Lytechinus pictus: one gene and its partner. The protein of the gene in region 1 interacts with the protein of each later gene in a pairwise test. Links are inferred from orthologs where the notes say so. Each region holds a gene or a part of one and is shown on either strand. Other genes may lie near its edges.

Region 1 (3,760 bases):
TTATTCAACAATTTCTGACATTTTACTGTAATCCCCATTTACCGACGGTAGGGTGTACGTGTGGGCTCGCATGTGTTCTCATTCCCTCCCTTTTGTCAATTCACAGTCCAAAGTTTGATGTAATTTTACACATCGAATTTACAATCTAAGGATGTATAAACAACAAACTTTTAATTGATGATATTCCAACATTTAAATACTTTAAACGATATAGATGAAAAAGGCATGAAAAATATACTTTACCGATGTTTAATTGGGTTGAACACGATAAAAATGGTCAAAATGGCAGCCAAACTATAAAATATTTACAAACGAACGTCAACAATCACGAATGTGATATCGATATTGCTTTCGATATTATACGATCTGCTCCATATGCGAACGAAACCGAAGATAAACGATACTAGTTATACTAGTACGAGTACTAGTTATAATCGCGATATATCGATTCGAGACATTAAGTTAATAACGACAATGACGTCATTCAAGATGGCAACTTGCAAGAAAAACCGTCAGGTCAGGTGAAAATGTCTTAGATGACAGATTTCTCAATCATCCAGAGGATTTTTTTCAATAACTCCGGCCCAAGGTATGCAATTACTTAAGTTATATATATTTCCCTGATAATGGAAACCATGAAACTTTCAATTTTGCTTAAAAAACAGTTTTAAATCGCGATCTATAAAACGCTAGTTCACTATACGTTGGCTGTAGGTACGGGGCCCCATCCCCTTCAGTCTATGTATGGTGAGTGGAGCCAACGTAGTTCAGCGGAACAACCAAAATACAGAGACTGAAGCTTTTGGTCTAGTTATTGTTATATCTTAACTTAAATTGGTAGGTGCGCAGACTTGGCCACCAAGCCCAAGGCACCATCAATCATCATTGATCATACTTTCATAGTCAAAGACGTCAGGTTGTTGGCCAATGAATGTGTAAGTCTGAAACTGCATTTAATATTAGCGCCTTATTTATGATGGTGGGCCCCAAGTCTGCGCACCTAACAATTTGAGTTAAGATTTAACATGAATTTCTTCTTATTTCACAAAATCTTTTGGTTAATAGTGTTCCTTATATTATTAAGAGTAAGTGTACCAAATTTCTCATTAAAAAATGAAAGAAAATATAAGATTTTCTTGAAAAAACCTTTGGGCAGTCATTTTCAGATTGAAAAAAAAATGGTACCCCATGTCTGCGCACTCATTCACTTTCACGATTTGGGGATTTTGATGACAAAGGCTGCATTTTGAGGCCGTCACATGAAATGCCCTGAATTCATTATTTTTCCACCATTTTGAGTCAGATTTTTTATGAATACCTGTCTATGTATTGCATGTGTAAAGTTCTTGCTCGTTGCGTATCTTCTTTTACTAGAATCGCGCAGATACGCGGGTGCGCAGACTTGAGAGACCGCGCAGACATGGGGGAACTGACCATACAAAAACAACCCCACTCATATTATTTATGCTGCGCTAGAGCTAGCGCCGCGATTTTCATTCTGTGACTGAGACGCAACGGAGATCGGAGACCCATGGATTACGCAGCCCGGAGCTTCCCGGAGAGACGGAGTAGCAGAGGCGAGCAGCCAGTCCGCCAGTCCAGGCCCAGAGAGGCTCCTCCCAACGGCAACAAAGACAAAGCTAAAAAGTCTTAAGTTAAGACTCAGTCATGAGTTCTAACAAAATCAGAGCTAAATAACTAATCCAACAGAAAAGTAACCCAGAGTCAGAGAGCTCCCGCCCGCGTAGCGGGCGGGAGCCCAGAAGCTTACCGTGTATTTTACCATTGTCACCGGACTAGGGTGATTTATGGTCTAAATATTTCTCCAAATGAATTGTGAAAACGGAAAGTATACAATTACCACGATTATATGGATGAAGGTCTAACGAGTGGCAGATTCCTGACATCTGGGCACAGTCTGGAACCTCAAAAAAACGAAAAGTTCTCTCCTTCTACCCAGTCTCGATCGGCCATTTTGTTACGATTTTTAACAAAAATGGCCGATCGAGACGGGGTAGAAGGAGAGAACTTTTCGTTTTTTTGAGGTTCCAGACTGTGCCCAGATGTCAGGAATCTGCCACTCGTTAGACCTTCATCCATATAATCATGGTAATTGTATACTTTCTGTTTTCACAATTCATTTGGAGAAATATTTAGACCATAAATCACCCTAGTCCGGTGACAATGGTAAAATACACGGTAAGCTTCTGGGCTCCCGCCCGCTGTGCGGGCGGGAGCTCTCTGGGTTAACAGAAAAGTAGACTATAATGTACAAGCACATAAAATCAAACAAAATACATACCAGTGGAAAATCAAAAATTACTGCATGCAAACTCGGCGATCCTATCTATGATTGACCTCTTCCTGGCCTGACCCATTCACGTAAATCCACATAACAAACGTACCGGGTACGGTACCCTTACGTCTATCTGCTGTTACTTCAACAGCGTACTCCATTGGTTTTCCAACACCCCGTCGAATAAATACAGCGATCAATTTCTACTAAAAATTTAAACATACAGTGTCTTCAGAACAACAAAGAAAAATGACATCACAGCCAGAATCTTGGTGACTCGAGTGCAGACAAACCCTAAAACACAGAAATACAACAAGATAATGGGACATGGCCACAATTTGGAATTTTGATAGTGGCAAGAAAATTTAAAAGTATTCAGAAACATAAACAAGCTGGGAGTTAATATTTTTTTTTTACATTTTGATTTAGGCCTATGAAGTATAATTGCAGGATTTATTATGGCATCTGCATGGGCTTGATCCCATGCACACTTAATTTGGGAGGATATTTTTTAGACAATTTGCATAAAAATTGCTAAAATCATTATTTTTAAATACTTGGGATGGAAGAGGTAGCAATTAATTACTCCTCTGTCTGCCTATACCCACCCCTATCAGGCATGCACAGAGGCAAGGATTTTAAAAATAATGGAATGGTATTATATGTGTGTGTGTAAAGTTCATGAGAATGTGTTAGCTCAGAAGAAATGCATACAAAATTATGAGTTTTAAAGGGATAATCCAGGCTGAAAATTATAACATTAGAACAGATGGTAAATATCAGAGAAACAAAACACTGATATGGTTTCATCAAAATTGGAAGAGCACTTAGATCAAAATTTTGCACAAATAAAAAAAAATATTGATATTATAAACTTTTTTAAAATAGATTTTGATGAAGCTTTCTTGTTTCTTGCTCCAAAGATCATGTTATTTTCAGACTGGAGTAACACTCTAATCTATTAGAAAACTGTAAACATTAGTTTTTTTTATTTGGTTGGAAATTTAATTAAAATCCTTTACTTGTTTTTTTCTTTTGTTTGAATTCATTTTTCTGGTTTGAGAAACTACGGACAACCCTAAATACAGAAGCAAGTAGGGAGAGATAGGACTGATTAAATTGATTGAAGATGGTTGGGGAATATTGCTGCAAACAGTAGTGTACGCAGGATTTTTGAGTTGATTGAAAACTTGACAAGCAAAAAAAAAAGGGGGGGGGGAGTTTTCATCCGATGAAAATTTGACCAAAAAAAAAGGTTTTCACCAAAAAAAAATTAAGAAATTAGTTATTTTCGTAAAAAAAAGCAGAAAGATTTGAATTCGAATCCAAATCAAGTCTCTAATACGCTCCTTTCATTGATTGAAAATCCAAGTTGCAATTGATTTTTTTAGTTGCGTCTGATTGCAACTCCTTTTGCAAAGTGACTCTAATATAACAATTGAATACACCCAACCTTACTTATGC
Region 2 (3,760 bases), on another chromosome or scaffold:
TTATTTCTTATTTCATCGCTAAATCTACGTGTATTCACATTTTTCACATTTCATTCAAAAAATCACACACACGCACACCCCACACACATACCTTCACACAACAAACATCAACCACTCTGCACAACCACTACCGTAATACTTGGTGCAAGCTGAAAGAGGGGAAAAAATCTTTTTGAAGATACCATAGAAAAACTCGCTCTTCTTGCACAACTGGGCGTTGCTCAGCTGCTTTTTATGTACCTTATTTTTCCTGTTACCAAGGCAAAAGACTATCGAATTTCACGTCCTCCTATAGGGCTGAATTAATTGCGATTGTTCTCGCACTGGAATGGATAGAATATTTAGATATATATACAGGTGTTGTTATTTTCAGTGATTCATTAAGTGCACTTTTATCTTTACAGAATCGGAAAGACGATCCTATCATTACAGAAATTCTAACTATTAGTACAAGACTCAAATATAAAGGTATAGAGGTATACCTGGAGTGGATCCCTGGTCACTGTGGAATAAAAGGAAATGAAATAGCAGACTCCTGCGCAAAAAAAGCTTTATCAAACAAAATAGAAATTCATAATCAAATAACATTATCAGAAATTATGCAACTTATTTCAAAAAGTTGTAAGATAATTTGGCAAGAAAGATGGAATAAAACTAACTCAGCACTGAAAGAATTGCAACCATCAGTGCTATCCACATATAAATGTAATCTAGGAAGACAGGAAACTGTACTCCATCGTCTCCGTTTTGGAGTCGCTGGTCTTAACCAAGATCTACTAAGATTAGGGATCCATCCAACAGGGTTTTGTGATAGATGTCCTGAGCTAGAAACTGTCAGACATTATCTTTTACATTGTCCAAAATATATAATTGAAAGATCAATGCTCCTTGTAGAATTGAATGAATCACAGCCAGGACAAATAATGGAGTATTTAAAAAAAGATGACCCAGGGATACAGAAAGCATTTTTACGTTTCGTTTCAAGAACGAAACGTTTTAGTAAGGAGTGATGTACTATTTTAATATTGTATTGTCTATAAGAAATATGAATGGATATGCTTGTACAAGTCTAATGTGAAAAGAAGAATATATATATATATATACATAATAATGTATGATATAATATATACAAAATGATATGTTCTGCACATATAACTAACAAAGCCCACAAGTGTTTTCGCCTTGTTGTTGTTGGTGTTGTTTAAAAAAAAAAAAAAAAAAAAAAATGATTTTAATGTTTAACCCATCTGTAAGCACAGGTACACTAGCGCCCCCTCGTCTATGCATGGGTGACCTAGGCATTTATGTCCGAAAAATCGGCACAATGTACCGTGCTGACCGGTATGATTGCATCTTTGAAAGGGCAGGGCAAGCGCAACTAGTTGGAACTGAGCTGAAGATAGCGGTTTGTTTTTGGTGAAGTTTTGTTTATATGCCATTTTGACAAGAGTTACTGCAAACTTTTGTACATATCATAATTATCCTCTTTCATATCAGAAGGATACAAAAAAAATATTTTATATATGTATACATCATATTGGTAATAATATTATTATGTGAGAAGTGAGATTTTTTATTAATAATGTCAATGGCGACAATAGTCAAATATGACTAATCGCCACTCAAACAAACATAAGAAGAAGAAGAAGAAGTTGTGGCGTGCGCCTGTAATCCAAGCTATGCGGGGAAGTTACAATTTGATGCAGAGGTTCGAGCCCTGGTCACGTCTTTCGGATGGTGACGTTAAAGGTCGGTCCCAGACGTAAATAATCATATCTGATTGATACACGTCTGACAAAACTCAAATACACACACACACTTCACTAGGTGGTACGTACTGTACGCGTACCGACTGCTTATGTGCAGCGCTGAGCTTGATCAAGCGACCGAGTGATTCCGAAATAGGTGTAAAACTTTGTAAAAAAGTGTCAAAACGGCAAATATTCAACTTCTACTGGACTTTGGAGGCTCAGATGCAAATTTTTAGGTTGTGAATTATTTATAATTTAGGGTGAGATTGTAGTTTTGTACATGTTTGAAAACCATTAAATGGGGAGGTGCGAAACTACACTAGCGCCCAACCGGAAAAGCGCTGGATGTATTGATCTTGAAGTTGAAATGTGATTGAGAGACCTGGCTGCTATGATATTTTCGAACAATTACTGGTGGGGAAATTATCTCGAAGACGAAGTCGGCCGGTGCGAAACTGCATTGGCGCCTAAACATCAACACGACCATACGCTGAAAAGCATTGATGGGACCGAAATCAAAACTACGCCACAAGAATCCGAAACATCGCATTCCCTACAATTTCCCATTCAAAGCAAACCGTATAACATCATTATTATCATACAAATCTAATAAATCAATCCAAAAGAATCCTCGAAAAAATCTACGGAATTGGCATGATGACGGTGAAATAATTGAATGAAATACTTGCTTACTTGAACAAACTAACGCCATGTTGCAAAGCGTGAGCGCCTAGCCACTATCTAAATGTCATTGCGAGATGGCGGTCTACTCTATATAATAAATATAGAAAAAAAAAGAGAAAACCACAATCAAAAGAAAATGTCATTGCTATTTATCCGAGTGAAGGAGTGAATAAATAACGATTCCTGTCCTTGTTTCATTTTCCCCTATGTTTCCTCCTGCCCCTCCCCTCGGTCCGCTGCCCCTCTAGAAAGGAAAAAAACTTAGAACAAACTAGAAAAAAGAAACTTTTATTTGAAAAATTAATTAATTATTAAAATTAACAATTAAAAAATTAAAATTAAAACAAGACACTTGGGCACATGATCACGGGACTGATGAAAGGGGGCACACTGCAGAATAAGAATTTCACGATGAAAAGAAAAAGAAGTAGCTATATAAAGGAATCATAGACGGGTCCAAGGGCAAAATAGCCCCCCCCCCCCCCCCCCCCCCCATTAGCGGCGGCAATAAAAAAGAGGGAAAAGGGAAAGAAAGATGGAGAAATCAGTTAAGGAGAAGAGGAGACAGAAAAGAAGAGATAATTGGAGGGAAAAAAGTAAAAACAATAAAATCGTTCGGTTCATTATAGAGAGGGAAAAATATCAATAACAACAACATTAGTAGATGAAGAAAACAAAAAGAAATAAATAGAAGCATGCATGAAGAAGTGAAGAATAATAATAATAATATATGGTATTTATATTGCGCACATCATCACCTTGTTAGGTGCTGAAGGCGCTCATTACCCGGCTAAGCTAGGCATTCATAGCGCACACAGCTTTTTAAGGAATAGAGAAAAAATGCTTCATTACACACGTTGGATAAGTTAAATTTCGGTTTCTTACTTGCCCGTTACATGCATGGTGAACCAGTTTGATTTTTTTGTGAGAACAACAGCTTCCTCTTTTTCGTACGATATCATTCACATTTCACAATTAAGAAAGTGTCACGTTTTTAACTTTGGGGATATTGCCAAGCTACATTTGTGTTTTTATTTAATATTGAAATATATACTTGTAAAAAAAACTAAAAAATTGCCAAAAATGACAGATGACATTTGGCTCTATCGAGTTTGTCTGTTTTCTGCATGTTTTTAGGTTCATTTTTTCCTCATTTATTTATTTATTCATTTATTTATTTTTGCCCGGGGTGGGGCTGGAGTAGATATATAATGAAAGAATGATTATTACAAGTGCTGTTGTCTAGAGCAATTCGGAAGAAAGCAACAAATTTTGAGCAGAGAAAATAAGTATTCAATTTGTACTTTGGCATAATATAGGAAAAT

What was found.
Region 2: the proteins of exocyst complex component 7-like (region 1) and pre-mRNA-processing factor 19-like interact in a two-hybrid assay, tested with the Homo sapiens proteins (2 studies listed by BioGRID and IntAct, with this or other methods). The link is inferred for Lytechinus pictus from reciprocal best matches to the Homo sapiens genes EXOC7 and PRPF19.

What each region holds. Positions count from the first base shown.
Region 1 is NC_087254.1:33,365,488-33,369,247, reverse strand, and holds the start of exocyst complex component 7-like, read right to left. Parts: upstream 2,524-3,760; 5' UTR 2,303-2,523; intron 1-2,302. UniProt on the Homo sapiens protein: Component of the exocyst complex involved in the docking of exocytic vesicles with fusion sites on the plasma membrane.
Region 2 is NC_087246.1:31,303,751-31,307,510, reverse strand, and holds the start of pre-mRNA-processing factor 19-like, read right to left. Parts: upstream 2,539-3,760; 5' UTR 2,464-2,538; coding exon 2,445-2,463; intron 1-2,444. UniProt on the Homo sapiens protein: Ubiquitin-protein ligase which is a core component of several complexes mainly involved pre-mRNA splicing and DNA repair. Required for pre-mRNA splicing as component of the spliceosome.